4 linked regions of the Callithrix jacchus genome follow. The protein of the gene in region 2 binds, or shares a complex with, the protein of the main gene of each other region. Links are inferred from orthologs where the notes say so. Each region holds a gene or a part of one and is shown on either strand. Other genes may lie near its edges. The genes, in order: LSM6, LSM7, USP39 and LSM2.

The links.
Region 1: LSM7 (region 2) and LSM6 share a complex: the UniProt entries of both Homo sapiens proteins name them as parts of the precatalytic spliceosome. The link is inferred for Callithrix jacchus from reciprocal best matches to the Homo sapiens genes LSM7 and LSM6.
Region 3: LSM7 (region 2) and USP39 share a complex: the UniProt entries of both Homo sapiens proteins name them as parts of the U4/U6-U5 tri-snRNP complex. The link is inferred for Callithrix jacchus from reciprocal best matches to the Homo sapiens genes LSM7 and USP39.
Region 4: LSM7 (region 2) and LSM2 share a complex: the UniProt entries of both Homo sapiens proteins name them as parts of the precatalytic spliceosome. The link is inferred for Callithrix jacchus from reciprocal best matches to the Homo sapiens genes LSM7 and LSM2.

The regions. Positions count from the first base shown.
Region 1 is NC_133504.1:50,808,353-50,816,306, reverse strand, and holds part of LSM6 (U6 snRNA-associated Sm-like protein LSm6), read left to right. Parts: intron 1-55; 5' UTR 56-65; coding exon 66-159; intron 160-4,179; coding exon 4,180-4,293; intron 4,294-7,954. UniProt on the Homo sapiens protein: Plays a role in pre-mRNA splicing as component of the U4/U6-U5 tri-snRNP complex that is involved in spliceosome assembly, and as component of the precatalytic spliceosome (spliceosome B complex).
Region 2 is NC_133523.1:2,190,269-2,199,005, forward strand, and holds LSM7 (U6 snRNA-associated Sm-like protein LSm7), read right to left. Parts: upstream 5,712-8,737; 5' UTR 5,708-5,711; coding exon 5,618-5,707; intron 5,536-5,617; coding exon 5,445-5,535; intron 1,943-5,444; coding exon 1,871-1,942; intron 478-1,870; coding exon 335-477; 3' UTR 120-334; downstream 1-119. Other genes in the region: SPPL2B (signal peptide peptidase-like 2B), read left to right, coding at 5,776-5,841. UniProt on the Homo sapiens protein: Plays a role in pre-mRNA splicing as component of the U4/U6-U5 tri-snRNP complex that is involved in spliceosome assembly, and as component of the precatalytic spliceosome (spliceosome B complex).
Region 3 is NC_133515.1:27,398,477-27,406,430, reverse strand, and holds part of USP39 (ubiquitin carboxyl-terminal hydrolase 39), read left to right. Parts: intron 1-2,400; coding exon 2,401-2,495; intron 2,496-4,941; coding exon 4,942-5,078; intron 5,079-7,323; coding exon 7,324-7,476; intron 7,477-7,954.
Region 4 is NC_133505.1:39,301,586-39,308,610, forward strand, and holds the end of LSM2 (U6 snRNA-associated Sm-like protein LSm2), read right to left. Parts: intron 3,689-7,025; coding exon 3,658-3,688; intron 3,541-3,657; coding exon 3,481-3,540; intron 3,374-3,480; coding exon 3,248-3,373; 3' UTR 2,890-3,247; downstream 1-2,889. Other genes in the region: VARS1 (valine--tRNA ligase), read right to left, coding at 450-836. UniProt on the Homo sapiens protein: Plays a role in pre-mRNA splicing as component of the U4/U6-U5 tri-snRNP complex that is involved in spliceosome assembly, and as component of the precatalytic spliceosome (spliceosome B complex).

The sequences.
Region 1 (7,954 bases), on a different chromosome or scaffold from region 2:
TGACTAATTAGCTTTTGTCTTTACCTTTATTACCCCTTTCCATGTTTTGATTTAGGATTGTTAAAATGAGTCTTCGGAAGCAAACCCCTAGTGACTTCTTAAAGCAAATCATTGGACGACCGGTTGTGGTAAAATTAAATTCTGGAGTGGATTATCGAGGTAATATTTTTATGTTTCATCCTCATGATGTAACTGAATAAGTAAATGTGACGTACTGATTTTTATTAACCTCTTAAATATACCTGATAGACCAAAAAAGTACTGGTCCTCAGCAGTTCTTATGCACATCTCTTTTTCTGCCTCTGAGATCATTCCTGCTAGAGGGACAGCTCTGGCAGTATAGCGTGTGCTGTTTCTGCCTTTCTGTGTGATTTGTGTGACTTCTGTCTCCTGTCTCTGCTTTGAGATCGTGTTTGCCTAAGTTACATGGTAATAACCAGATATTCCTAGTTGACTCAGGGATGAACAACTCAACTGAAGAACACCTTGGTACAGCAGCATTTGTTTTTGCAGGAGTATTCAAAATTGGCAAGCAGCTATTGAGTATCATTTTACAACCTGAGTGTCCCACTCATGTAACTTATATGTGAAGTATCCAAAGATGCCTTTCTGTTCTTGGAGAAAATATTATTTTTAAGAGGCTGTGATGCTTTTGAAATTAACTTTATAGGAAGAATGGTGTCAAATTCCATTTTTTTAAAGTTAATAAATTCCTTATTTTTCGCAACTAAGATATGTTAAGGTGCCTGAAATATTTCACAGGTGTAGCTAACTAATTCATTAGCAGAGTGACTTGGTCTCTTGGGTTGCTATAACAGAATACCACAGACTGGGTAATTCCTATTTTTATTTTTTGCATTTTTAAATTTATTTCCTTAGAGTACAGGTGGTTTTTGGCTACATGTGTACATTCTTTAGCGGTGGTTTTGTGCATCCATCATCCAAGCACTGTACACTATACTGGGTAATTTTCAAAAACAGAAGTTTATTTTCTCTCAGTTCTGGTGGCTAGGAAATCCAAGATCAGGATGCCAGCAGGTTCAGTTGTCTGGCGGGCTGCATCCTCCGGAAAGGATGGAATGCTGAGTCCTTAGGTGGCAGAAGGCAGAGGGCAAGCCAGCATACTGTATGAAGCCTTTTTTTATGTGGGCCTTCATCCCATGAATGGGAAAGTGTTCATGGTCCACTCACCTCTTAAAGGCCCCACCTCTTAATACCGTCTTATTGCCAAACACTTGAATTTTGGAAGGGACACATTCAAACCATAGCACAGGGTTTTGTTGCCTTTTCTTGGTCTCTTTTCTGAATAATTAATAATGATAGTAATCTCTCAAGCTTTTTCCTTTGAAATCTCTATTGAGTATCCCCACCTAGTAAGGGAGGAGCTAGGACTCGAGTTCAGGCTTGGCTCATAAGCCTTGTTAAGAAAGCACTCTGGTGATTATGTACTCCTTTAGCTTCTTGACACTAATAACATATCTCCAGTTTAATTTTATTTTTATAGTAAAACTAATGGATTTATACTGAATACTGAGATACTACAATGTCTCAATTTACTGCCTCTACCTGTGAACTTTTGATGAGCCCATAGGAAGTGATAGATTTCTAGGGATTTTAGTCTGCTTGACAACTGATTAAAGTGAGGACATTGTGTTCAGTATCTTCTCAGTATCCACTTTATTGAAGAGATGAACCAGCCTGATCTTTTTTCTCTATACTCTTTAAGAAAAATTTTTCTGTTTATAAAGGCAATACATGTTTTAGTTTTAATTTTAGAAATTTAAAAGAAAATAAAAGAAACAAGTATATAGAAGAAAGCAAAGTCTCTCCAATGCTACCATCCAAAGAGTTTACCAATTTTGACCTCTATATAAGCATAATTTGATGTAAATGGAATCAGCTGTACATGAAACCTGATTTTTTTTTTTTTTTTTAAACATGAAACAATACATTTAGTTTTGTGACAGTATAAAGGTTTGTGTGGCTGTACAATAGTTTTGTTTTTATTTTTAACAAATTTCCTATTAATGGACATTTTAGGTGTTGACCAGTTTTTTACTACTGTAAACAACTGTTTTACTTTGACATACATTGTGAACGCTTGACCAAGCATCTCTTTAGAATCAATTCCCTGGGCTAGGATTTACAATCAGAGTATTCCATGGCCCTGCATCAGTGAACCTGGGTTTATCCTACATATTCTCACCAACTCTTGTATTAGCTTTTTCATCTTTTCTAATCTAATACTTGGCAACAAGTAATATCTCATTTTACATATATTTTCTTTGTTTACTAGTGAGATTCAGGAGTCTTTCACATGGATAGTAACCCTAATTTTCTTTCCTCATGTCTCTTCATGGCCTTTGTACTAATAAAGCAAAATATTTTTTACTATTAGCCTTACTAAAGGACCATGCTTATTTTATGGTTTACAAAACACTGATAAAAGCCCAAAACAAAACAATAACAACATACCAAAAAAAAAAAAACCTCCATCAACTCTCTGTAGCAATTTCTCTTTAAGAAAATGCCTTGTTTTTGGTTATGTATAGTGATTTATCTCATGAAGAAGGAAAGGGTTGTATTTCTAACCTTTTGGGCAGTTTGTTAGTGTGTGGATTTTTGTTTTTTGTTTTTTCTTTTTAGCCTTTGCTATGAGAATAGAATAGACATTTTAATTAGACGTGAACTTTTTTTTTTTTGAGATGGTGTCTCACTCTGTCGCCCAGGCTGGAATGCAGTGTCGCAGTCTTGGCTCACTAAAACCTCTGCCTCCCAGGTTCAAACGATTCTCCTCTCAGGTTCAAAAGATTCTCCTGCCTCAGCCTCCTGAGTAGCTGGAATTACTGGCACCTGCCACCACTTCTGGCTAATTTTTGTATTTTTAGTAGAGACAGGATTTCACCATTTTAGCAAGGCTGTTCTTGAACTCCTGACCTCAAGTGATCCACCTGCCTCTGCCTCCCAAAGTACTGGGTTATAGGCATGAGCCACCGTGCCCAGCCTGGACATTTCATTTTGAAATCTTTTCATTAGTTTTCAAACTTGCCTGTCTTGCCTCAGAAGTTTCTTGCTTATTTATAATTGTGGTTTATATGTAAAATAATACAGCAGGAAATGAGCTAAAGTTGTATCTTAAGCTTTCTTTTGCTAAGAAATAATTGTTATTATTCACAGTCCATTCTGGTTCTTTGAGAGTTTACAGCTTAAGCTGTCATTATAGACACAATTTTGAAAGGAAACTTTTTTTGTTTAGAGGATAATAGGGGCAGAGACAGAGAGTGAGGAGCATATTAATCAAGTGAAGACATCAGATGAGAAACTATAGACTCGTCTAATTCAATTGAGTCTAGTATTTGTTTTTACTTAATTTTTTTTTCTCTGGAAAATACCACTTTACATTAGAGACAGAATTAGAGGCTTACAGATTTTCATCTTTTGAGAAAGATCATCAGGTCAAATTTAATAAAATTTATACCATCTTAACACAATTAAAGATTCACTCAACCTGTTTCCTTGAAAGCTCCCTCAAATTTTTTTGGCCATTTTCTCTATTAGTTTTGATTGAAAAATATTACAGCTGTAACAAAACAGACCAAGATGTGTTATAATGCAATATGTTGCCCTATATTCTCAAGCTGCTCTTCACTCTGAGTCACAGCTTTAAGATGTTCTTTCGGGAGCACCTGCTGTCTCCTCTTCTATTATTTTAACAGATTGTGGAGACTTCTCTTAACCCTGGAGTACATTCATCTGCTGCAGTAGATGTGAAAGAATGAAATAAATCTGCTAGACCCATGTTTCACTTAGTGGCTAAAGTAGGAAATGCCTCTGGAACCTGAGATCATTTGTTCATGCATAATTGCCCACCTTGTGCTTAGTTTTCAAAGAACGGTATTTTTGTTGGAATATTCTTTTGCTGTGTGGTCATACATGCCATGAGGGAAGTGACGGTTTGTTGTTTTACCGGTTAGTAGTGGGTGCATGACTGCCTTCCTAGCCTTCATTCAGATTGGCATAGAGTTATTTTGTGCTTAAGCTACTGAGTTTCATTTATTGTGTGAATTTTTATGTTAAGCATCTGAGAGCTGATGAACAAAGAGATAGTCTGCTCTAAGGTATACCCTGTAATTTTCAACTCTTACTTTTCTTGTGTATCTTCTTTTTGACTGTCTGCAGGGGTCCTGGCTTGCCTGGATGGCTACATGAATATAGCCCTGGAGCAGACAGAGGAATATGTAAATGGACAACTGAAGAATAAGTATGGGGACGCATTTATCCGAGGAAACAATGGTAACATTTCTTCACCCTGCAGTACAGGATCCAAAATAAGCCTTTTTGTTTATAATCCAGATCACCAAAGAGTTTTCTAGATAATTTTAAAGTACAGTTTTAGGCTTATTTTAAAATGCTTATATGTCAGATCTTCAGTTTGACCAGTTATTTTTTAAATGCCTCATAGAATTTTGAAACTAAAATTTTCGCCTTCCCTTCCTTTAGTGATGAGGAAATGGGGGACATTGGTCTCTTGACCCGGACCCTGCTCCCTCAAATATCATTTACTGTGTCTCCCCAGCACATATTCCTGCTTCTCGTAGCCTGGAAGTTGGAGCTATAAGAATGGGCACCATTTCCTTGATGTCTTTGATTTGCATAATTTGGCATTTCATCTTATTTGTCCCTTCTTTATTAAACTTTCAAATGTATGGAGATTTGTACCTTTTGGTTTGGCAAAAATGGCAAAGTAGAAAAACTAGTTTAAAGTTTCTCGGTTTTTTTAAACAACTAATTGCTGTGATTTTTGTAGTTATTTTTAAGTACCTAGTTTCAACATGAAAATTATAATTAAGTCATATTTGTATTTTTGGTGGGGAAGGAAAGACATCAGAAGTATGAGAATTACCCCACTTTTGGTTCATTCTCCCAAATGAAACTCTGGGATTCTTGAGTTCAGATTTTTTATTGATTTGTTTAATTCTGGATGTCTTCAACTCCCTAAATAGTTGAATCTCCTTGCTATGAACTAAACTTCCTGACTTTTATAATAGATTCTGTCCCCTGTGCTTACTGTACCATGTTTCTTCAGATTATATTTTTATATATATGATCTCTTGGTTTTCTAGTCCTTCCTATTTATAGAATTATTTATCCTATTTTTCATATCCTTATTTGACTTCTTCTTTTTCCTAAGAAATGATAGAATTCTTTTCTCACCTCAAGACAGCTAATGGCAGCAGTCACCGACAGGTTGGCTTCTGTGCATGTTAGTAGGGGTTGGATCCTTTAACATGCACACTACACCTAGGACTTGAGGGGCAGAGTGGAGGGTGGTTGTATGGGCATTCTGATGCTTCCCTTCCTGTCACATTTCCTGTGATGTAATCAGTAACATTCATCTTTAGACTCCCAAGTTCACATCGTTGGCTTTTAAAGAGGATCTTGACTTATTTGATTGGGCTGTGCTATGTTCTTTGATGAAGACATCCTACTTTGAGCAGACCTCTCAGAAGCCGAATAGGCATGGAGGGTGGAAGGGAGAGCCAACTCTAGTGAAACTTGGCCAAAGTGACCCAGACATTCCATTTTGTTTCATTCCTACAGACCATACATCCTAAGAGTTCAGGTTGGTAGTCGTGAGAGGACCAGCTAAGCAGAATATTGGGTAACACCAAAGTATGAGACCTTAACAGGAACTCAGAAAAAGGACTTTGATATCATTAAAAAGAAAAAAAATCAAAAAATCCTGCTCTTGTTTATCCTGTTGCAATTAAGAAGATAATCAGCAAGTTTAGAGTTTGCGTTGGAGAGAGAGATGGAAATATGCTCTTTATTCTTAATTTGAGATCTAGCCTGGTAGGTGGATTGACCGGTTTACTTTCTGAAAACATCTTGTTTTTTGTTTGTTTGTTTGTTTTTTGAGATGAAGTCTTCTATGTCACCCAGGCTGGAGGGTAGTGGTGCAATCTTGGCTCACTGCAGCCTCTACCTCTCAGACTTAAGTGATCCTCTCACCTCAGCCTCCCATGTAGCTGGGACTACAGGCGCGTATACCAACATGCCTGGCTAATTTTTTGTATTTTTGGTAGAGACGGGATTTCACCATGTTGCCCATGCTGGTCTTGAACTTCTGAGCTCAAGTGATCCACCTGCTTTGGCCTCCCAAAGTACTGAGATTACAGGCGTGAACCACCATGTTCAGCCTGGAAAAGCATAATTCTTGCACTTCTAACTGTAAAGCATTCTTAGATGCCAGAGACTTTCACATATATTTTATTTGTCTTCATGGTCACACTTTGCAGAGTCACGCAGACACATGGATAAGATTACGATACAGTTTTATAAGACATCAAACTCGGATATAGATAAAACTAGTACTTCCAGAGTTAATTGAATGATACAAAAATTCCTTTTAAATGTCAGATGTAGCCGACCAAAATGTGTCTGCTTTTATTTATTTATTTATTTTTTAAATTTTTTATTGCATTTTAGGTTTTGGGGTACATTTCCAGAACATGCAAGACAGTTGCATAGGTACACACATGGCAGTGTGTTTTGCTTCCTTTCTCCCCTTCACCCACATTTGGCATTTCTCCCCAGGCTATCCCTCCCCAGCTCCCCCTCCCGCTGGCCCTCCCCTTTTCCCCCCAATAGACCCCAGTGTTTAGTACTCCCCTCCCTGTGTCCATGTGTTCTCATTTTTCATCACCCGCCTGTGAGTGAGAATATGTGGTATTTCATTTTCTATTCTTGTGTCAGTTTGCTGAGAATGATGTTCTCCAGATTCATCCATGTCCCTACAAACGACACAAACTCATCATTTCTTATTGCTGCATAATATTCCATGGTGTATATGTGCCAGATTTTCCCAATCCAGTCTATCATCAATGGGAATTTGGGTTGATTTCAGGTCTTTGCTATTGTAAACAGTGCTGCAATGAACATTCGTGTACATGTGTCCTTATAGTAGAACGATTTATAGTCCTTTGGATATATACCCAGTAATGGGATTGCTGGGTCAAATGAAATTTCTATTTCTAAGGCCTTGAGGAATCGCCACACTGTCTTCCACAATGGTTGAACTAATCTACACTCCCACCAACAGTGTAAAAGTGTTCCTTTTTCTCCACATCCTCTCCAGCATCTGTTGTCTCCAGATTTTTTAATGATCGCCATTCTAACTGGCGTGAGATGGTATCTCAATGTGGTTTTGATTTGCATCTCTCTGATGACCAGTGACGATGAGCATTTTTTCATATGATTGTTGGCCTCATATATGTCTTCTTTCGTAAAGTGTCTGTTCATATCCTTTGCCCACTTTTGAATGGGCTTGTTTGTTTTTTTCCAGTAAATCCGTTTGAGTTCTTTGTAAATTCTGGATATCAGCCCTTCATCAGATGGGTAAACTGCAAAATTTTTTTCCCATTCTGTTGGTTGCCGATTCACTCTAGTGACTGTTTCTTTTGCCGTGCAGAAGCTGTGGAGTTTGATTAGGTCCCATTTGTCTATTTTGGCTTTTGTTGCCAATGCTTTTGGTGTTTTGTTCATGAAGTCCTTGCCTACTCCTATGTCCTGGATAGTTTTGCCTAGATTTCCTTCTAGTTTTTTTATCGTGCCAAGTCTTGTGTTTAAGTCTTTAATCCATCTGGAGTTAATTTTAGTGTAAGGTGTCAGGAAGGGGTCCAGTTTCTGCTTTCTGCACATGGCTCGCCAGTTTTCCCAGCACCATTTGTTAAACAGGGAATCCTTTCCCCATTGCTTGTTTTTGTCAGGTTTATCAAAGATTGTATAGTTGTCGATATGTTGTGTTGCCTCCGGTGCCTCTGTTATGTTCCATTGGTCTATATCTCTGTTTTAGTACCAGTACCATGCTGTTTTGATTACTGTAGCCTTGTAGTATAGTTTGAAATCCAGTAGTGTGATGCCCCCCGCTGTGTTCTTTTTGCTTAGAATTGAC
Region 2 (8,737 bases):
ACCGCCCCCTGCAGGAGGGACCAGGGCTGGTACTGATGGCCTCCGGGGGCGGAGTCCCACTCCAGGAATCTCGGTTTCCTCAAGTCAAGGGAAAAGCAGATTCTGGGGCTCGGACACAGTGAGGTTTGCAATTTTATTAAGAAAACAAAAATTCAACCTATACAAAAAGGAAGGGGCTCCTGTTCCAGCAGGTGGCACCGTGGTGGCAGCGGTGGCGAAGTCCGAGGGAGACAGTTTCTCAGGCCTGCCCTGTACCCCGAAGCCACTGCCCTGCTGTGGGATGAAAGGTTGGGGATGGCCTCCATGCCGCCCCGTACCCCGCCCCCGAGGCCGGCTAGGCGTCCTGCTGCTGGATGAAGGGGTTGGGGATGGCCTCCATGCCGTCCTGCGGGCAGATGAGCACCACCGACGTGCCCCGGCACACCACCAGGCCCAGCTGCCGGGTGTCCTCTGTGAGCTTGTACTGGTCGTCAGGGTCTGGGGAGGAGCAGACAGAGGACTCAGGGAGCTCCAGGAGGCCTCCGAGACCCCCCACCCACCCCAGACTCTGGCTCTCACCTCCCCACCTGCATCCCTTGGGCACCACGAGCGTGAGTTGGGGTTCAGGTATCAGGGCCAGAGACCAAATTATCAGACAGGCAGCCAGAATACAGCATCACAGGCCTCCTGATCTCTGCAAGGTCCCCAGAGCCCAAGGGGGCCAACATTCACCCTATAACAAAGAGGCTGGGCCGGGCACGGTGGCTCACGCCTGAAATCCCAGCACTTTGGGAGGCTGAGGAGGGTGGATCATGAGGTTAAGAGATCAAGACCATCCTGGCCAACATGGTGAAACCCCGTCTCTACTAAAAATACAAAAAATTAGCTGGGCATGGTGGTGCGTGCCTGTAATCCCAGCTACTCAGGAGGCTGAGGCAGGAGAATTGCCTGAACCCAGGAGGCGGAGGTTGCAGTGAGCCGAGATTGAACCACTGCACTCCAGCCTGGGTAACAAGAGTGAGACTCCATTGAAAGAAAGAAAGAAAGAGAGAAAGAGAGAGAGAGAGAGAGGAGAGAGACGGAGAGGGGGAGAGAGGGAGAGAGAGGGGGAGAGAGAGAGAGGGAGAGACAGAGAGAGAGAGACAGAGAGAGAGGGAGAGAGGGAGAGAGAGAGAGAGAGACAGAGAGAGAGAGAGAGAGAGAGAGAGAGAGACAGAGAGAGAGAGAGACAGACAGAGGAGAGAGAGAGAGAGAGAGAGAGAGAGAGAAAAGCTGTTGATATGGGATGGGGACCGTAGGGAAGAGCCAGCAAGCCCCAGACAGGCTCTCAGGAGGCCGGAGGCAAAGACGGCCCCTCACTTCTGTGGCCACGCGGTGGGGGGTGGGGAGAACCACGGCCCCAGGCTTTTCAAATCTTTTTTAGAGACCAGCTCACCTGATGGTGTCTACACACTGTGCTGGGCACTTCAAGTGTGCCCAGCACAGTGAAATGTTTTATTTTAATTTTGTTAGAGGTGAGGTGAGGGGCCAGGAACAGTGGCTCATGCCCGCCATCCCAGCACTTTGGGAGGCTGAGGCAGGAGGATCCCTTGAGACCAGGAATTTGAGACCAGCCCGGCCAACATGGGAAACCTCGTCTCCGCTAAAAATATATAAAGTTAGCCAGGCATGGTGGCGTGCACCTGGAGTCCCAGCTGCTTCCACTCTCCAGCTCCCCCGTCTCTGCGCCCCAGGATGATGGAGTTTCCAGCTTTGTGGAAACGCCTACGAATGGTAAGTGCCCAAGCCCGTCCTTCAGCCGTCACGGGGCTTCACGTCGGTACCTCAGGGTAAGGTTTTGTGGGTCTGAGAGAGGAAGAGCCAGCAGGCAGCCCCACGGCCGCCCCCTCACCTCGCATGTATTCGATGGTGCCGTCCAGCACGAGGTTGAGGAGCGGGTCGAAGCCCTTCAGGATTCCACTGGCTTGGAGAAGTCACCAGGGGAGAGAAATGAGAACGTGTGAGATGCGTCCCGGGCACAGGGCCCACCCCAGCGTGGATCAGGTGTGGTGCCAACTTCTCCAGGGATGGAGGACTGAGGGTAGGTGAGGGCTCCCGGTGTGGGGGTGGGGGGCAGATGACAGCGGTCTCCAGAGCGACACCCCCGATGGACAGCAGACCCAGTCTGCAGGGGCCCAGATGGCAAACACCTGTGGCTGTGTGGGCCCAAGGTGCCAGCCCCAGCTGCTGGCTCAGCCTGCCTGCTCATAAGCAGCCTCAGTGATGAGGCCGTGTGTGGCTGACGGCGGCCAGTCAGCTCTACGCACAGGCACTGAAATGTGAACTTCATGTAATTTCCACATCGTGAGACAGTCTTCTTTTGATCCCTTTTTAACTATTTAAAAGCCATGAAAACGATCGTCACCTCAAAAGCAGGTGAAAAACAGGTGGCGGCAGAGGTGGAGCCACCAGCCAGGAGCGGAGCGAGGCTGATGCAGGCCGCAGCACACCTGAGGATGCCACGCTCGGTGAAAGACCAACAGAAGGTGTGTGTGCACAGGAGGCCGCCCGCTGTGACCAAGCCACAGAGACAGGGAGGGGATGTGTGGGTGCCAGGGCCGGGGAGGGGACAGGGCTCCCTCCAGGGGAGACAGACTGCCCTGCTCTGAGAGTGGTGACGGCTGCGTTGACCCGTGCTGAGTCCCTCAGCGAGTTCATGGGATATAAAAGAACAACTTCCCGCCCCGCTGCTCAGGACTTGCGGGGAGTGGGCAACGGAAATGCCCGAGCCCTGGGTACGCAGGCTTCACGGGTTGAGGCAGTTGCTGTAGCTTCCCTCTCCCCGATGCCTGCCCCGCCCCTCAGGCCTCGATGCCTTAGGTCGAGACCTCTGCCCCTCAAGCCTGGCCGCTTTAGGTCACGCCTCGCCACCTAAGGTTAGGGCGCTGACCAGGCAGTGACCTCTGCCATCTGATCCTGCTCCCCAGTGTCTGGTGATTGGCCCATCCTCCCTGCCTGGGACGCCTCACCCCTCCCCTGCAGGCTCCTCCGGCCCAGGCCTCTCCTGCCGAGGATGCACTTTTGCGCTCTCTGAGGGGCTTCCCAGTGGCTGCCCCACCCTACTTCTCACCCCTGCCACCTCTCAGGTGCTTTCTCCAGACACCAACCCACCCACACCTCTTAGGGTGCTGCCCACTGTACCATCCCCCAATCCCAGGAAGCAGGCACCCTGGGCATTATTCTGTCTGCCTGAAAGGCGGGGCCTAGTGAGCTGGCCCACGGCCGCTCCGCGCACACCCAGGGCAGCCATGTGCAGGGAGGGGTGCGGGGTGAGGGTCTGCAAACCATGACCCTCAGGCCAACCTGGCCCGCTGCCCATCCCGTAGTGAAAGTCCCAGGGCCCAGCACCACACGCGCCGCTCCCGCTCCAGCGCTGACCACGGCAGGTCTCCCGCTCTCCCCGCATAGCTCACTGGTTTCAGAGACCATCTGGGATGCAAAGCTGAAGGTATTTGCCGACCAGCCTTTGCCTACAGAGAAGGTCTGACTGCCCAGGCTTGGGCCCCCCTCCCCAGCTCGCTCTCTGTGCTCTCAAGTTCCTCTCCTGCAAAATGAAACTCATCACCACCGGGGGCGGTGGCTCACGCCTGTAATCCCAGCACTTTGGGAGGCCGAGGCGGGTGGATCACGAGGTCAAGAGATCGAGACCATCCCGGTCAACATGGTGAAACCCCGTCTCTACTAAAAATACAAAAATTAGCTGGGCATGGTGGCGCGTGCCTGTAATCCCAGCTACTCGGGAGGCTGAGGCAGGAGAATTGCCTGAACCCAGGAGGCGGAGGTTGCGGTGAGCCGAGATCGCGCCATTGCACTCCAGCCTGGGTGACAAGAGCACAAACTCCGTCTCAAAAAAAAAAAAAAAGAAACTCATCACCTACACAATGGGGCCAGACACATCTGTTCAGGTGCCCAGCACTGGCCTGACCAGAGTCCCCTCTCAAGGGGACAGACGTGAGCACCGAGGCAGGTGGGTGCACCCAAGGTTCCTCTCCCCTGGAGAGCTAGGTTCGGAATCCCCACCCCTGGGGCATGTGACTGACTGGACAAGACGTCACTCTTGCAGTCAGGTGACGTGAGGAAGACAAGGAACTCTGCAGCTGTGATTGAAGCCCGGGAACCAGCAGACTGTAAGCCAATCTGGAGGGAAACAGCCTGGGTGGGCCTGAGGGCATCAGGTGAGCCCTTCAGGAACCAGACCTTTCTGCTTTTTTTTTTTTTTTTTTTTGGAGACAAAGTCTAGTTCTATCATCCTGGTTGGAGTGCAGTGGCATGATCTCCGCCTCTCATGCGCAAGCGATTCTCCTGCCTCAGCCTCCCCAGTGGCTGGGACTACAGGCATGTGCCACTATGCCTGGTTGATTTTTGAGTTTTTAGTAGAGACGGGGCTCTGCCATGTTGGCCAGGCTGGTCTCAAACTCCTGAACTCAAGTGATCTGGCGCCTCAGCCTCCCAAAATGCTGGGATTACAGGCGCCTACCACCACACCCAGCCAATTTTTGTATTTTTAGTAGAGACAGGGTTTCACCGTATTGGCCAGGCTTGTCTCGAACTCCTGAGCTCCTGATCTGCTTGCATCAGCCTCTCAAAGTGCTGGGATTACAGGTGTGGGCCACTGCGCCCACCCTGTCTGAGGCTGTTTAGGTTGTCGCGACTTGGTGGAGGCCAGGGATACTGCTCAGCACCCTGCAGTGCCCAGGTACGGCCCCAACCCAGAGAATGATCCGGCCCCAAATGTGTCCACACTGTTGGTGCCGGGAGAGATCTTGACATGGGTGGGGGAGAAACAGAAGCCGGGAGATCTGTGGGGAGCTGGGGCAGCCCTTGGACACACAGGACTGCTCAGAAGGCCAACCCTGAAATCCCAATCCCTGCTATGCCACTGTGACTTTGGGTTCCGTCTGTTTCCCGCCCCGTGCCTCAGTTTCCTTGCATGCAAAATGGGCATACCAGTTCCTACCTCCCGGTGTAAGTAGGAATACCGCATAAGGTAGTCTAAAGAGGGGCCTGCGAGGCCAGGCGCGGTGGGTCACGCCTGTAATCCCGGTACTTTGGGAGGCCGAGGAGGGAGAATCAATTAAGGTCAGGAGTTCGAGACCAGGCTGGCCAACATGGTGAAACCCCCGTCTCTACTAGAAACACAAAAATTAGCCGGGCGTGGTGGCCGGCGCCTGTAATCCCAGCTAATCGGGAGGCCGAGGCAGGAGAATCGCTTGAACCCGGGAGGCGGTGGTCGCAGTGAGCCGAGATCGCGCCATTGCACTCCAGCCTGGGCATCAGACCGAGACTCGGTCTCAAAAAAAGAAAAAAAAAAAAAGAAAAGAATAAATAAAAGCGGCGCCTCCGCATGCATGCGTCCTCATCATCGCTCTTCCTGGGTTTATTTCAGAATTTTAAAGGCGAGGTGCCGACGGCGGGAGCCTCCTCACCTTCGCGGCCTCCCTGGAACTTCACCCGGATCGTCTTGTCGATGTACTTGGACAAGTCCAAGATGCTCTCCTTTTTCTTCTTCTCCTTATCCTGCGGGGAAAGCAGAGCGCGTGAGGCGCGCAGCGCGGCCCGAGCCCCACGCCCCCAGCTCCGGATCCCGCCGCGCGCTCACCGCCATCTTGCCGCGCCGCGCCGCTCTGCGCAGGCGCCACCCCGCGCCCTTTGACCCCCTCCCGGCTTCGCAGGCGCATGCGCGGCGCATGCGTGGCCCGGGGTCTCGCGGCGTTGCTGGGAAACATCTGTCGACGGTTGCGGTGGGCACCGGCCGACATGGCGGCGGCGACGGCGGCTGCGCTGGCGCGGCTTGTGGCGCCCTTTCTGCTCCTCGCGGCCCAGGTGAGCGCGGCGTTGGTTCCGACGGCCCCGCAGGCTACGGCTTCTGGGCCTCTCGGCCCCCGGGCTACGCCCAGGAACGACCCAGGTCGTCTCCGGGGGTTCCAGCCTCGGGGATCCGCGGTCACCGCGCCGTTGGCCGGCGGTGCCGGGGCCTGGCCGTGACCTTGCGGGGCTGTCCCCGGCTCGTCTCCCGTCCCTGCCTCGGAGGCCCTGCGCCGCCGCAGCGCCCCTCACTTCCTACCGGGTCTGAAGCTTGTGCCCACTCCATCCCTCCGTTCTGCTTGTCCTCTTCGGGGTCTCCAGCCGCCGCCGGGGTCGCCTGTCTCTGGCTCTGTGGCCTTGGGCAGGCGGCTGCCCACCCCGCGCCGAGCCTCAGTTTCCCCGTAGGCGGAACGGGCGGGGTGCTGGCTAGCCTCACCCTAGGGGGTGCCGTGGGGAACCCAGAGGCGTCCCGCGCGTCCCCGAGTGTCTGGCAGCGCCCTGGAGTGGCCAAGAGCCCAGCCCTGCTCTGGGGCTGCATCCCTGCTCCATCTTTTAGTCTGTGACCTTGGACAAGGGAATCCCCTGCTTGGAGCGTCAGCTGCTCGTCCGCAGGAAGGCTGAGGATGGTGTGGATTCTGGAGATGATGCCCAGGGTGACCAGCGCCCAGGGCCAGCACGCCCTCGTTATGTTAATCGTGTGTCGTTTGCTGCAAAGCATCTCAGGTTCTCGTGGGGACAGTCTACGAGATAGCACTGCCCTAACTGCGTTTTTTATTTTCTTATTTCCAAATCTTCCCTCTCTCCTGACTTTAGGAGCGCAGCCCTACAAATGCGGCCCTTAACCTTGACTCCTCTCTCCGAGTTCTCACTCTTAAGGCGTCGCTGCCACCGGCGCTCTCTCAGCCCCACTCCTCCAGCTCCGCCGTCCTCCCCCTGCTGTGGCTGCCTTTGTCCCCCATGTCCCCAGTCCAGCCTCGACACAGCAGGAGTGACCCTGTCACATCCAGATGAGTGTGTCCGTGCATTTGTGACCTGGCTATCAGAAGCCTGCAGTGGGCTCCCTGGCCGTTTCTCTTACCCTGGAAGCCCTCCGCAGAAGCTTTCTAACAACCCCACCCCCTGCTGCTCTTTCGGCCCCCTGGACGTCCCCCCATTTTGCAGCCAGGGACCTACAACTCCCCAGACGTTTGGAAGGAGGGAAGAACCAGAGGTGGAAGGAAGGTTCCCTCCTGGAGTTTGCCTGGAAAGGGTTTTCCAAAGCAGGTGTGTGTGTGTGTGTGTGTGTGTGTGTGTGTGTTTTGAGAGGGAGTCTTGCTCTGTCGCCCAGGCTGGAGTGCAGTGGTGCCATCTCAGCTCAGTGCAACCTCCACCTCCCAGGTTCAAGTGATTCTCCCACCTCAGCCTCCCGAGTAGCTGGGATTACATGCGTGCGCCATTGCGCTTGGCTAATTTTTGTATTTTTAGTAGAGATGTTGGTCAGGCTGTCTCGAACTTCTGGCCTCAGGTGATCACCCACCTTGGCCTCCCAAAGTGCTGGGATGACAGGCATGAGCCACCGCGCCCGGCCCCGAAGCAGGTGTTCCCAAGGCTGAGTAGGAGTTTGCCAGGTTGGCAGAAGGGGAAGGATGTTGGCAGCAGAAGCAGCATGGGCAGGGGCTGGGAGGGGTGAGAGCCGTTGGGCTATTTGGGGCTGGCAAGGGGTGGGCTGCGGCTGCAGTGTAAAGTGGAATAATGCTGGTACGGAGGGTTTCCACCTGGAAGATGTCACCACCAGGGAGGCCTGCACGTGGGCCATGGAGAGAGGCTGGGGCAGGGGCACAGAGGAGGGGGCCGTGGTATGAGTGGCCCCAGGTAGAGGGTGAAGGCAGAGCATTGGGCCTTGGCTGGAGGACAGGCCATCAGGTGGAAGCCAAGTCATGGAAGGCGCTGGGTGCTGGGGCGTGGAGTTTACCCTGGGAGGGCTGAGGAGCTTGAGCTTTATCCGGAGTGTGGAGAGCCAAAGGCCAAGTCAGAGTGACACGAGAAAGCAGGAGCTCCCGGGCCTCCCCCAACCTTGATTGTAAATACACCCGAGACGCCCGTGCCTGGAGGGGGCGGTGCTTCCCGCAGTGGAAATGGGAGTCCATTGCCCAAGAATGAGACTTGCTGTAGGGGCAGGAACCTGCTTGGTGAGAGTCCTCAGCTCACTTGCTACCATTTGGTGACTCTGAGCAAGAAATCTGACCTCCCCAGTGAGACACCCCCCACCATGGAGCCGCTCCCCAGCAGGTCTGAGCTGGAGCTGGTGGACCTGGCTGGACCCGGCCCTGCTCCTGGAACTCCTCAGTTCCGGTTTCTGGAGTCACGTGCCTGTGTCAAAGGCCCTTGACTCGGACGCTTTCACAGTCATTCTGAAGCAGGGTTTCTAAGCCTCCTAGAAGGTTTTAAAGCTGTGTGTGGTTGCGAAGCGTCCGCACTGCAGTTGGGAAGGGTTCCGAGCTGGAGGCCTGGGCTTTGAGCCTGTCCTCATGGCCTGCCCCAGCTTTCGCTGGCCTTCCACATTTCTGTGGGCCCGACTAGAACTCAGGACCCGGTTAGAGCTGTGGCGGTTGAAGAATTGCTCCCCGTTCCTTTAACTCGGCAGGCGAGGAGACTCTTCACAGTGAGACGCTGCTTTCTGGCCTTTGTTAGAGGCTCAGGCTTGTTTTTTAACGGAAAACCAGTTTTCCGAATTGTGCAGAGGAAAATGCATGAATGTGCTTTTGTGCTCTTAAATGACCCTTTCAGAGAGAAGCTGTTCTGTCGGTTCCCATTTTACACAAAAGACACCTTTCACCAAAGTCCCTGGTCCCGTTGAACAAAGCTTGGCAGGTGTTTTCTGGGAAGGGCTGGACAGTAGTTCTGCTGGGATTTGTGGCCCGTGTGGCCTCTGGTG
Region 3 (7,954 bases), on a different chromosome or scaffold from region 2:
CACCTGTAATCTCAGACCTTTGGCAGGCAGGAGGATCACTTGAGGCCAAAAGTTTGAGACCAGCCTGGTCAACATAATGAGACCCATCTTTTTTTATTCTCTTTAGATGGAGTTTTGCTTGTATTGCCCAGACTGGAGTGCAATGGTGTGATCTTTGCTCACCGCAACCTCTGCCTCCCAGGTTCAAGTGATTCTCCTGCCTCAGGCTCCTGAGTAGCTGGAACTATATGCGTCCACCACTATGCCCAGCTAGTTTTTGTATTTTTTTAGTAGAAATGGGTTTTACTATGTTGGCCAGGCTGGTTTTGAACTCATGACCTGAGGTAATCTACCTGCCTTGGCCTCCCAAAGTGCTGGGATTACAGGTGTGAGCGATGGCGGCCGGCCAGTGAGACTCATCTTTTATTTATTTATTTTTAAGATGGGGTTTCACCATGATGGCCAGGCTGGTCTTGAACTCCTGACCTCAGGTGATCCACCCACCTTGGCCTCCCAAAGTGCTGAGATTACAGGTGTGAGCCACTGTGCCTGGCTCGTATTTATTTATTTTTAAATTTAATTTTTATTTTTATTTAAAAATTTTTTTAAATTTTTAATTATTTTTTTATAGAAGTGGGCTTTCACCATTTTGGCCAGGATGATCTTGATCTCTTGACCTCGTGATCCGCCCGCCTTGGCCTCCCAGAGTGCTGCGATTACAGATATGAGCCACCGCGCCTGGCTTGAGACTCATCTTTTATAAAGACTTAAAAAAAAAAAAGTTATGGCTGGGTGCTCTGGCTCATGCCTATAATCCTAGCATTTTCGGAGGCTGAGTTGGGCAGATTGCTTGAGCCCAGGAGTTCGAGACCATCCTGGGCAACATGGCAAAACCTCATCTCTACAAAAAATAAGCCAGGTGTAGTGGTGAACTCCTGTAGTCCCAGCTACTTGAGGGGGCTGAAGCAGGAGGATTGCTTGAACCTGGGAGGTTGAGGCTGCAGTGTTGAGATTGTGCCACTGCACTCCAGCCTGGATGACAAAGTGAGACCCCATCTCTGGGAAAAGAAGGTCACGAGGGCTGTTCATTATGGTAGGCATGAGCCACTTGTGGCTTCAGTGCTCCTGCAATTGAAGAACTGATTTTTACATTTTATTTAATTGAATTACAGTCAGCCTCAGTATCAGGATATGGAACCTGAAGATACAAAGGGCCAGCTGTAAGGGGTCCTAGAACCAGTTGAACATTGTAGATTTTGGTATCTGAAGGGGTCCTAGAACCAGTTTCCTGTGGCTACTGATGGACAGCTGTTTTTGTTTTTGGTTGTTTGCTTTTTTGAGATGGGGTCTTGCTCTGTTGCCCAGGCTGGAGTGCTGTGGTGAGATCTTGGCTCACTGCAGCCTCCGCCTCCCAGGTTCAAGCAGTTCTCCTATCTCAGCCTTCTGAGTAGCTGAGATTACAGGCAGACCACCACACCCAGCTAATTTTTGTATTTTCAGTAGAGATGAGGTTTTACCATGTTGGCCAGGCTGGTCCCGAACTCCTGACCTTGGGTGATCCACCCTCCTCAGCCTCCCAAAGTGTTGGAATTATAGGCATGAGCCACTGCACCCAACAGGACAGCTTATTTTAAATTTAATTGTTAATAGCCACTTTGTCTAGTGGCTTCTTTATTAGATAGCACAGCTCTTTGGGATCATTATCAGTTAATTAAGATTACTATTTGAGGATAAATCTCTTTGTGGGTTGAATGGAGGTAAGGTTTTTTGTTCCTTTCTGCCTAGTCCTCACTTGGCACTTGAATAAATAGATCTGTTTGTAGGTATTCTAAAATTTTTCAGCCTTTCCATTTGTTTTTATGGACAAAAATACGTTTTTATTTTAAAATTTACTATTATTATTATTTTTTTTTTTTTAAGAGAGGATCTCACTCTAGCCCAGGCTGGAGTGCAGTAGTGGATCAGAGCTCACTGTAGCCACAAACTCCTGGGTTAAAGTGATACATTTTTCTTTTGTGAAAAGATTTATTCATCCTTTTTATGTCCTCTCCACCTCCAGAATGCTGTTGGGGTCCTTTTACCTTAGTCTGACTTGTAACTTTCCCTTTAGAAAAAGTGAATGCAGTGGGAAGTCTTGAACTGGTTACAAACACTAATGAGAAAGATACTTTTGGTTATTAGGTGTCTGGTGGAGACACCTCAACACTGCTTTGGAGCATGGCAGGTGGAGGTGAGGAATAATCAGTGTCTCCGAATAATCAGTGTCCCCCAATAATCGGTATATATATTGTTGTGAACTGTTTTCTGAAGGCTGTTGTGTGGTATCATTGAACATCACAGAGCCAACACTGCTTCATTTGAGTGCCTTCCTACATGTCCATCCTATTGTTTATTTTTTTCTGTTTTGTTTTGTTTCCTTAGAAGTGTGCTGGACTTTGACTTTGAGAAACTGTGTTCTATCTCCCTCTCACATATCAATGCTTACGCCTGTCTGGTGTGTGGCAAGTACTTTCAAGGTAATGAGTGTTAAAAATTACAAACTTGTTAAGCTTTTAGAGCTAGCTGCAGATCTGTTCCAGAGGGACTTTTTTTTTTTTTTTTTTAAAGAAAGTAAGCTGTTCTCAGGAATTATATCTAATAATTTCAATTTGTTCCCAGGAAATTGAAATATTCTTAGAAAACGAACAAGAGGTTCTCTGACTGGTCAGAGCCTGGATATATCTGAAAGGGAGAAAGGGCAAATCATATGACATCAAAGACTGGATTCTTGATTCTAATATATGTATTTTCTTATTTTTAATTTTTTATTATTTTGAGACAGAGTCTCACCCTGTCACCCAGGTTGGAGTGCAGTGGTGCAGTCTTGCCAGCTAATTTTTGTTTAAATTTACATGGAGTCTTGCTTTGTCACCCAGTCTGCAGTGCAGTGACATGATCTTGGCTTACTGCAACCCCTGCCTTCTGGGATCAAGCAGTTCTCCTGCCTCAGCCTCCCAATTAGCTGGGATTACAGGCATACCACCATACCTGGCTAATTTTATATTTTTAGTAGAGACAGGGCTTCACCATGTTGGCCAGGCTGGTCTCAATCTCCCAACTTCAGGTGATCTACCTTGGCCTCCCAAAGTGCTGGGATTACAGGCATGAGCCACCGTGCCCAGCCAATTTTTTATTTTTATTTTTGACATAGAGTCTCCCTCTGTCACCCAGGCTGGTGTGCAGTGGCATGATCTAGGCTCACTGCAACCTCTGCCTTCTGGGTTCAGTCTGTTCTCCTGCCTTAGCTTCCTGAGTACTGGGATTACAGGTGTGTACCATCACACCCAGCTAATTTTTTTTTTTTGTACTTTTAGTAGAGATAGGGTTTTATCATGTTGGTCAGGCTGGTCTCGAACTCCTGACCTCGTGATCTGCCTTCCTCGGCCTCCCAAAGTGCTGGTGTTATAGGTGTGAGCCACTGTACCCGGCCAATTTTTTTTTTCAATTTTATTTATTTATATTTTGGGCTGGAGTTTCGCTCTGTTGCCCAGGCTCACTTGCATCACTGAGTTCAAGTGATTCTCCTGCCTCAACCTCCCGAGCAGCTGGGACTACAGGCATGCACCACCACGCCACTACACCTGGCTAATTTTTGTATTTTTTAGTAGAAATGGGGTTTTACCATATTGGCCAGGCTAGTCTTGATCTCCTGACCTCAAGTGATCCACACTCATCAGCCTCCCAAAGTGCTGAGATTACAGGCGTAAGCCACTGCACCGGGCCACATTTTTTTTTTTAAAAGATGGGATTTTTCTCTGTTGCCCAGGCTAGTCTCAAAACTCCTGAACTCAAGCAGTCTGCACTTTGGGGCCTCCCAAAGTGCTGGGATTTATAGGTGTGAGCCACTGCACCACGCCATCTGGCTATTTTATTTTATTTTATTTTGTAGTGACAAGGCTTTATTATATTACCCAGGCTGCCCTTTTATTTTTTAATCCTTTATCTCCATGGACTTTTTTTTCCCCATTCTTTTCTGAAAATGCATAATTTCAACTTATTCAGACCAAGCAGATGCCACGTACATAGTATAGTGGAGGGTTCAAATGAGGTAAAAACATCCTGACATGGTGGCTCGCACCTGTAATCCTAGTATTTTGGGAGGCCAAGGCAGGAGGTTTGCTTAAAGCCAAGAGTTCAAGACCCACCTGGCTAAAGTAACAAGACCCTGTCTCAAATAAAAAAGAGATAAAAACTATATTCTTTGCTGTTATAAGTAGCTTATAAGAAGTCAAGGTTGACAATGTAAAACAACCAGCAAGTTCTGTTAGAACTTAAAGATTCTGCTAGACTGTGGCAGTGAATAAAAATAAAGGCAATAGGAGTTGAAATATGTAAAAGTCAGTGTTAGCCGGAGTGTTTATATTGAGTTCATGGAGGAGTTGAGGTGGGACTTGAATTGGCAGGACATAGGATTTTGAATGGTTAAGGGAGAGATTCTAGAAAGGAGTAGCAACATGAAAAAAGTTACATAGATGCAGCATTGTCCTGAATATGGATAGTTGGAAATTCAGGACTGAGTGATGATGGACTGTCATAGGATATGTATGTATTTGTGTATATGTGTATTTATTCACACATATATGCATGGCTATTTCTGATTTCATATATATAGGAAACTATATATAATATATATATAGGTTATATATATTAGGTTATATACATATTATATGTGAAATAGTGAAATTTGTTTCCTCAGTCAATGTCTTACACCATCTAGGGAATGAAGTAACTAATGTGCCAGTTTTTCTTGCTCATTTTTTTATAAGAGAAGTTCATGTGGAGGATTCATTTTATGAATGGCATAATATTTGTTTTTTGCGGATGCTAACATGTTCTGGTAGAAAATAATGAAAGGAAAAGCAAACCTGATCGGTGCCTTCTAGGATCTGCCCTTCTGTTACAGCCTTTCCCCTTTCCCTACAGGCCGCGGTTTGAAGTCTCATGCCTACATTCACAGTGTCCAGTTTAGCCACCATGTTTTCCTCAACCTCCATACCCTCAAGTTTTACTGCCTTCCAGACAACTATGAGATCATCGATTCCTCATTGGAGGATATCACGGTGTGTGTCTAAGAGGGTTGGTTTGGGGTCCATTCTTTATGAGCCATCCCAGGGCTCCCAGGGGACTGCTCCACCTGAGGACAGGGAAGAATCTCAGTCCTTTTGGGCCTTGAGAGATTGCTTTCCCTTTTGGAAGGAACCAGGGAAACTGATTGTCATTTCTGCCTTTAACATTGAGGACTAGGACTGAAGAAATATGGCTGTATTCTGATAGGGTTGAAAGTGTTTTTGTGAAATGAATTATTCTTCCACACTTTGAAGTAGGGATATTAATTGGGTGTGGTGTAGGACAGTAGTTACCAAGCTGCACACCAGCTCCTGGCTGCTTTTATTTTATGATGTGGCCAGAGCATCCAGCCACAGATGTATCATCTGTGGGCTCTAGTTTGTGACCTGGACCAAGAGATACTCATTGTACTGAACATGGAAAGTCCTCTTGGGCTTTGATTAGTGTTGGGCTTTTGATTATTATTTTTCTTTTCAGCATGTGGGGAATATTCATGGTGCCAAATGCTCTGTTTTTGTTTTTGAGATGGGGTCTCACTCTGTTGCCCAGACAGGAGTGCAGCACCAGCACAGCTCACTATATCCTTGACCTCATGGGTTCAAGTGATCCTTCCACCTCGGCCTCCCATGTAACTGGGACTACTGGCATGTACCATCATGCCCAGATAAATTTATTACTTTTTTTATAGAGATGGGGTCTCGGCTGGGTGCGGTGGCTCACGCCTGTAATCCAGCACTTTGGGAGGCTGAGACGGGTGGATCACAAGGTCAAGAGATCGAGACCATCCTGGTCAACAAGGTGAAACCCCATCTCTACTAAAAATACAAAAATTAGCTGGGCATGGTGGCGTGCGCCTGTAATCCCAGCTACTTGGGAGGCTGAGGCAGGAGAATTGCTTGAACCCAGGAGGCGGAGGTTACGGTGAGCCGAGATCGTGCCATTGCACTCCAGCCTGGGTAACAACTGCGAAGCTCCTCAAAAAAAAGAGGTGGGGTCTCATTGTGTTGCACAGGTTGGTCATGTTCTGTTTATTTTTAAGGAAAGTTTGGTAGTTTTTGAAATACTGGTTTTTCTACTTGCGAAAGTTTTATAAGCCTATTTTTTTTTGAGTCACACTGTTGCCAGACTGGAGTGCAGTGGCACCATCTCAGCTTACAGCAAAATCTCCACGTCCCAGGTTCAAGCGATTCTACTGCCTTAGCAGTAGATTACAGGTGTGTGTCACCACACCTAACTAATTTTTGTATTTTTAGTAGGGGCAGGGTTTCACCACGCCTGGATGGTCTTGATCTTCTGACCTCATGATCCACCCACCTCGACCTCCCAAAGTACTGGGATTACTGGCATGAGCCACTGCCAGGTTTGTTAATAATTGAGGTTAAAATTGTTATACATAGGCTGGGTGCAGTGGCTAACACTTGTAATCCCAGCACTTTGGGAGGCCGACGCAGGTGGATCACTTGAGGTCAGGAGTTTGAGACCAGCCTGTCCAACATGATGAGACCTTGTTTCTACTAAAAATACAAAATTGCCCAGGCATGGTGGCGCACACTTATAATCCCAGCCACTTGGGAGGCTCAGGCAGGAGAATTGCTTGAACCTGGGAGGTGGCTGTTGCAGTGAACCGAGATTGTGCCATGGTACTCCAGCCTGGGCAACAGGAGCAAAACTCGGTCTCAAAAAATAAAAGTTATGGATAGTATTATAGAGGGAGAAACTGGAATAAATTCAGTGTTTCAAAGTGAGTTTGGGATGACCTCTGTCCAGTCTGTGACATAATGACTGTGGTGACTGAACCTGGGAAGCATCTGATCCTGCTCTTTCAGTCCCAGAAAGTCATGGAAATCCTCAGTCTCACCCAGCGTGGAGGAAACTCTCCTGCTCCAAAGCTAAGTACATGTGCTGCCCCTGGGAGGTTCTGAGGCTTAGACTGCTGTTAGAAACTTGAGTATTGTATCGTTTCTGGCAGTCAGTTATGAGTTGACCAGACCTGAGGTCTGCAAAAATCACTGGGATTTAGTGATTTTGGATTAAACACAGAGATCCCCTTGTAGATTAGTCATGGGAGAGGATCTACCCCATGTTACTTCAGTCTTTACATCTATTGGTTGGGACTCTTTGCGTGTGTCATGAGATGTTCATGGCCAAAGTCATTTTTGTTTCTGCAGAAATAGCTGCTCCAGACATTTCTTGTGAACTCAGCTCTTAAACAACTTAGAATTTTCTTTTGTTTTACAGTATGTATTGAAGCCCACTTTTACAAAGCAGCAAATTGCAAACTTGGACAAGCAAGCCAAATTGTCCCGGGCATATGATGGTACCACTTACCTGCCGGGTATCGTGGGACTGAATAACATAAAGGCCAATGACTATGCCAACGCTGTCCTTCAGGTAGGATCAAGACAGGAACGCTGAGGAAGGGAAGGACACCCAGAAGGCTGGGGATAGTGATTCACGCCTGTAATCCCAACACTTTGGGAGGCCGAGGTGGGCAGATCACAAGGTGAGGGGTTTGAGACCAGCCTGGCCAGCATGGTGAAACCCCATCTCTACTAAAAATACAAAAATTAGCTGGGTGTGGTGGTGTGCGCCTGTAATCCCAGCTACTGGGGAGGCTGAGGCAGGAGAATGGCTTGAACCCAGGAGGCGAAGGTTGCAGTAAGCCGAGATTCTGTCACTGTACTCTAGACTGGGTGACAGAGCAAGACTGTCTCAAAAAAAAGAAAAAGAAAAGAAAATTTCTACAGTGTGCACCTATTACTTACTCGTATAATTTTCTTAAAAATAACTTAATTGAAAATAAGACAGCTTTGACTTTCTGCCTCTCCCATTTCAGGCTTATCAGCACATGGGTAAAAAAGTCATTGGC
Region 4 (7,025 bases), on a different chromosome or scaffold from region 2:
AACCCCGTCTCTACTAAAATTACAAAAAATTAGCTGGGCATGGGGGCGCGTGCCTGTAATCCCAGCTACTCAGGAGGCTGAGGCAGGAGAATTGCCTGAACCCAGGAGGCAGAGGTTGCAGTGAGCTGAGATGGCGCCATTGCACTCCAGCCTGGGTAATAAGAGCAAAACTCCGTCTCAAAAAAAAAAAAAAAGTGCCTGGCACTAATGCACTCTGCGCACATCTTTTAATCTTATTAACTCAGTGAGGCAAACATTACATCAACTTGCCTGCGCGTCCACAGACGCAGGAAGACCAAGACACAGCGAGTTACCATGCCAGTTGGCAATCTGGGATTTGATCTCTCTTTTTCCACATCTGACATGCTGCCTTGTCTCATTGTCCATTCCAGTCCTTGCTTCCCTCCTCTGAAACTCTCCCCTCCCCCTCTTCTCTACAATCCCCTCACCTGGGGATCCTGGGCCGAGTTTCGCAGTCCCAGGGCTGGCAGCGTTGCCCCACAGGCAGCTGGTATTAGCTCCGTGTCAGCGTAACTGACCCACTGTTGGACGAGAACAGCCGCCTGGCTGCCCCCTGGGCCCCCCAGGCCTGCTGGCCACAGCAGCTGGGCCACAGCCGTGGCCCCCCACACCCAAAGCCCACTGGGCCCCTGCTCCAGGGCCGGCAGGCGGGGTGGGGGAAAGGGAGTCCTGCTAGTCGGGGGCGGCTGGAGACAAATGCGGGGGTGGGCTCCTCCCCATCCCGGACCCTCCCCAGCCTCCCCATAGCGAGCGGCTATGAGTGCTCGGAGGCTGGGGAAGGCATCTGGGTGAGGGGAGACGTAGAGGATGGACATAGTTATGAGGGGGTCCAAACGAAGTGGAAAAACCTAAAGAGAAAGAGAGACAGGGGAAGACTGAGGGATCCAGGCGGGTCCTATATTTGAGTAGAGAGGGGACCCTCACGGTAGCTCCTCCGCCGCAGACACCCGAGTCCCCCAGGACTAAGGGTCTGACCAGGCAAGGTGCCAGCAGTCGAGGACCTGGCTCTCAAGAGGGGTAGTAACAGTGGAGAGTACCTGGGGAGGAGGGACGTGGGGGACTACCCGTGATCGCAGGGCTTCGGGGAGTGTGGAAGGCTCTCAGGAGCGGGTCCGCGTCCACTTGGACGCGGGTTCGAGCCGCGTGTACGTACTGGAGGGAGATGGTCAGACTGGGCCGGGAATCCACCTCACAGGCAGGCGCCGGCCGCGGCTGGACCGGCCAAGCGGCCGGGGCGGAAAAGTCGGGCGGGCAGAGACGGATGGGCGGCTCACCGGGTGACCCTAGCTCCCTGAGACCGCCGCCCGGGCAGCCGGCGCCCACGTGTTCCCCCTTTGTGACAGGGAGCGTTTCCGGGCCTGCAGGTCCTGGCGGGGGCGGCCGTGCCCCGCCTGCGTGTGCCCGCTCCGCCCTGTCCGACGCTGTCCCGGGGACGCACCGCCCACCACCCACCGCGCTCACGAGCAACAGCACGGGCGCGGGGCGCTGGGCGCGGGCGCAAGACAACAGGACGCCCATGGGCACCACGCTCCCGTCAGGCGCTGCCACGGACACCTTGTGCGGGTCCTCGAACCGGGCGGCGAGGGCGGCGCCCAGCGGGCAGCCAGGGAACTGGCCTAAGAGGGTCGGCCGGCCTGCAGGGGGAGGCGTTCCCAGCGGTAGCGGGACTAGCCCACCTAGGAGGCAGTCGCCTGATGACCAAAGGGGAGGTCCATCTTCCAAAGCCCTAGCGTCCAGCTTCCCCTTTGAGCCTCATCCCATGTTTGAAAAAAGGGTCATGGCCGGGCGCGGTGGCTGACGCCTATAATCCCAACACTTTGGGAGGCCGAGGTGGGCAGACGCCTTTGAGGAGTCCGGGTCCAGCCTGGCCAACATGCTGAAACCCCGTCTGCACTAAAAAATACAAAATTGGCCGGGTGCGGTGGCTCCCGCCTGTAATCCTAGCACTTGGGAGGCTGAGGCGGGCCGATCACTTGAGGTCAGAAGTTCGAGACCAGCCTGGCCAACATGGTGAACCGTCTCTACTAAAAATACAAAAATTAGCCGGGTGTGGTGGCATACACCCACAATCCCAGCTACTTGGGAGGCTGAAGCAAGAGAATCACTTGAACCTGGGAGGCAGAGACTGCAATGAGCTGAGATCACACCACTGCACTCCAGCCTGGCTGACAAAGTGAGACTCCACCTCGAAATAATAAATAAATACAAAAATTAGCCAGGCCTGGTGGGTGGGCGCCTGTAATCCCAGCTACTTGGAAGCTGAGGCAGAAGTGCTTGAATCAGGGAGGAGGCTGCAGTGAGCCAGACTGCACTACTGCACTCCACCCTGGGCGACAGAGCAAGGCTGTTTAAAAAAAAAAAAAAAAAGAGGGTCACACTAGATGGTCTCTAAGGGTCCCTTAATGCTGAGAAGTCTCATCTGTATCACAACTCATATTTGCTGAATGAGTGAATGAAGTTTAGTAATTGCCAGTCATAACTTTTCTCCAACATATAAATTATGTTCCGTCTGTATTTATCTTCTATAGATATTCAAAAAACATGTACTGATTTGGTTGGATTGTCAAAGTCCGGTAGCATGAAATGCATCTTATAACATTGTCACATTAATGGAAAGACAGCAAGCACTCCAGTTGCCAGTATGGTATAAGCAAAACGCCGAAGGGAGAACATGCAGACAGAGGCATGTTGGGAGAAACGTGGTGTAGTGCAATTGTTATTATACGCTTTATACCACGGAGAGTAGTGGGAAGCTGAGTTGGATTCTTGGCTGGGTTAACAGAGAGTAACAAGGGCCTGGATGAATTCAACATCCTTTTCCACCACCCAGCACCCAGCCCCAAACGTAGTACAAAACCAGAACACGAATTTGCATCATAAATTTTATTCCCGATGCGGGACAGATTCCTTCCATCCCTAAATGAATGCCCTGGAAATACTTAGGAAACTCTCCCACCATCTCCAGGGAAATAGTAAGAAAGGCTGGTGCTGGGGACTGGGAAGGCTTTGAAGTTTCCCAGCCTACTCATCCTCCCCTTCTCAACAGAGGAGAGCTGTTCCCTATTATTCCTCTCATCCACTCATCCCTTTAAAAAACCCACAAAATCATCATTAGTAAAAAACAAACAAACAAAAACCCTTAAGTATTGGGAGTTAGGGGTTCTTGGCTGGGACTTGGGGTTCTGGGTCACCAATGCAAGAGGGAGGGGAAGAGGAGGAGGAGCTATCACTGTTTCTGCTGCAGGGCTTCCTTCCTTGCCGCATCCTGCAGCAACTGTGTGTCGACCTCGTCTGCTGGCAACTGCACGTAGCGGACCACTGAACCCCGAATGAAACAATTCTTCACTGATAACTAGACAAAGATGGACAAATGTGAAAACACCCTTAAAAATGTCCTCTAACCACCCAGGAGCCTCCTGCTTTAGAGGTGTTTCCTCTTCTCCATAGACCCCAACTCACCATGTGAGGATATTTCTCAGGGTCTGTAACACTGATGTCAGTTAGTTTGATGTTGAGATACTAAGAAAGGAATACGAACACCATTATTAACCCTAGAGATATGATGTAAGTACCCAACCCTTAAGCTCTCCCCTCTCCTTCCCCAGGAACCAATTCTGGGCCCTTGCTATATCTCACCTGATCCACAGAATGGAGGGTTCCACAGATGCTGTCAAGGGCAGAGAGAGAAAAAACAAATTAGTTTATAACAAAGTCAACATAAAGGTGACTTCAGAGCTGGGATGAGAATATGATTGGGAAAAGGCAAGGACTTGAGGAAGTCAGAAAAGGTAGAACCAAAAGGGGACATTCCTAAGCCTGGAGTAGGAAAGATGGCTACAGAGTGGTTTAATTTCAACCCCACATCTCCTCTCCTTAAACCATTCTTTTTTTTTTAGATGGACTCTCACTCTATGCAGTGCCACTATCTCTGCTCACTGCAACCTCTGTCTTCCAGGTTCAAATGATTCTCTTGCCTCAGCCTCCTGAGTAGCTAGGACTTCAGGTGTGCGCCATCATGCCTGGCTAGTCTTTTATTTTTAGTAGAAGTGAGGTTTCACCATGTTGGCCAGGCTGGTCTATAACTCCTGACCTCAGGCAATCTGCCTATCTTAGCCTCCCAAAGTGCTGGGATTACAGGTGTGAGCCACTGTGCCCGGCCAAACCAACCTATTCTTAATAGCTACCATTAAACAACTGGTAAAGACTAGACCTGTATTCTGTTATCTTTATAGCCATCTTTTGAAGTAGTTATTACCTTCCATGGGCTCAGAGAAGTTTTAAACCTGAGTTTAGAACAAACAGGAACTTCAGTCCAAGTCTGTCTGACTCCCAACATCATCAACAGTTTTTTTTGTTTTTTTTTTGAGACAGGATCTCACTCTATGGCCCAGGCTGGAGTGCAATGGCATGATCATGCTCACTGCAGCCACTTGAGCAGCTGTTGTGATGACAGGCATGTGCCCCCATGCCCAGCTGATTTTTTTTTTTTTTTTTTTTTTTTTTGTAGAGAAAGGGTCTCATGGTGAATGTTGCCCAGGCTAGCTATTTTCAAACATTTATTGCTTTGGAACCAGAGTCCCATATGTAGATAAAGGTAGGAAGGTAGCATTACTCTTGATGATGCAGGCACAAGTGATATCCTCTCCATTCTCCAATCCTCAAGCCCCTTGAGATGCTATTTGAGTAATGGTATCAAAACACCAGTGCTCTTTGGGAGAATGGTGCAAAAATTTAAGAAACAGCCTTTGGCTGGGTGCAGTGGCTCACATCTGTAATCCCAGCACTTCGGGAGGCTGAGGCAGGAGGATCACTTGAGGCCAGCCCGGACAAAATAGCAGTGCCTGGGCAACATAGCAATACCTCATCTCTATTTTGAAGTTATAAAATAATCATAATAAATAGCTGTTTTAAAAAGTCCTTATCTTGCCAAAAATAAAGTTAGCAGTTCTCTGCCGGACCCTAAGTTTTGTAAAAATTCTCAAAGTATTGAGCTGGGCGCGATGGTTCATGCCTGTAATCCCAGCACTTTGGGAGGCCGAGGCGGGTGGGTCACGAGGTCAAGAGATCAAGACCATCCTGGTCAACATGGTGAAACTCCGTCTCTACTAAAAATACAAAAAATTAGCTGGGCATGGTGGCGCGTGCCTATAATCCCAGCTACTCAGGAGGCTGAGGCAGCAGAATTGCCTGAACCCAGGAGGTGGAGGTTGTGGTGAGCCGAGATAATGTCATTGCACTCCAGCCTGGGTAACAAGAACGAAACTCCGTCTCAAAAAAAAAAAAAAAATTCTCAAGTATTTAAAACCCAGTGTCTGGGCCGTGCAAGGTGGCTCATGCCTGTAATCCCAGCACTTAGGGGTGATGAGGCGGGTGGATCATTTGGGGTCTGGAGTTTGTGACAAGCCTGGCCAACATGGTGAAACCTCATCTCTACAAAAAATACAAAAATTAACTGGGCATTGTGGCAGGCAGCTATAATCCTACCTACTCGGGGAGGCTGAGACAAGAGAATCACTTGAACTCGGGAGGCTGAGGTTGCAGTGAGCCGATAAGAGTAGTGTTACTGCACTCCAGCCTGGGCAACAGAGTCAGACTCTTGTCTCAAAAAAAATAAAAATAAAAAAAATAAAGGATAAACAGAAAACTAATGCCTGCACTGCTTTTAAATCTCCTCCCACTTGTATCTTTTATTTTAATCTTATTTCAGGACTTAGACTAAATGCTGTATTTTTGAGAGACTTCTCCCTGTCCTTCTAGCCCCGTAGAACCTTCTATCAGAGAGTCTATATTCTTCCTAATGGGTGCTTCTCATTTTGTAGAAATAACATTTGCTGTTTATGGCCTGTTCTTTTTTTGTTTTGAGATGGGAGTCTCACTCTGTCGCCAGGCTGGAGTGCAGTGGTGCAATCTTGGCTCACTGCAACCTCCACCTCCCGGGTTCAAATGATTCTCCTGCTTCTGCCTCCCTAGTAACTGGGACTACAGGTGCGGGCCACCACGCCCAGCTAATTTTTGTATTTTTAGTAGAGACAAGGTTTCACTATATAGGCCAGAATGATCTAGATCTCTTGACCTCGTGATCCTCCCACCTCAGCCTCCCAAAGTGCTAGGATTACAAGTGTAAGCCACTGTGCACCATGCCCATCCTATGGCCTGTTCTTTTTTGAGACACAGTCTCCCTCTGTCACCCAGGCTGGAGTAAAGTGGTATAATCATGGCTTGCTGTAGCCTCGACTTCCTGGGTTCAAGTGATCATCCCACCTCAGGCTGGGATTAGTCCCTAATAACTGGGACTACAGACATGCATCACTACACCTGGCTAATTTTTAAATTTTTTGTAGAAATAGAGGTCTCACTATGTTGCCCAGGCTAGTCTCAAACTCCTGGACTCAAGTGATCTTCCTATCTCAGCCTCCCAAAGCACTGAGGTTACAGGTGTGAGCCACCATGACCAGCCTAGTATTTACTTTTTTTTTTTTTTCCCAGATGGAGTCTCACTCTATCATCCAGGCTGGAGTGCAGTGGCACAATCTCAGCTCACCGCCATCTCTGCCACCTAGGTTCAAGCGATTCTCCTGCCTCAGTCTCCTGAGTAGCTGGAATCACAGGCGCCTGACACCACACCTGGCTTATTTTTGCATTTTTAGTAGAGACAGGGTTTCACCATCTTGGTCTGGCTGGTCTTGAACTCCTGACCTCGTGGTGACCACCCATCACGGCCTCCCAAAGGCTGGGCTTACAGGTATGAGTCACCTCGCCCAACCCGAGAGCCAGGGAGCCTGGCTACTAGTACTTACTCTTTAAACTATATAATGCTTTGTATTGTTTTCCAATACACAGCATAATCCCAAGCTTATCTGTAAATTTAAGGCACAAGGCACTTATTTTTAAATTTTTCTTAGAGATGGGGTCTTGCTCTATTGCCTGGGCTAGAGTGCAATGGAGTAATCATTGCTCACTGCAGCCTCAAACTCCTGGGCTCAAGCGATCCTCCCTCCTCAGCC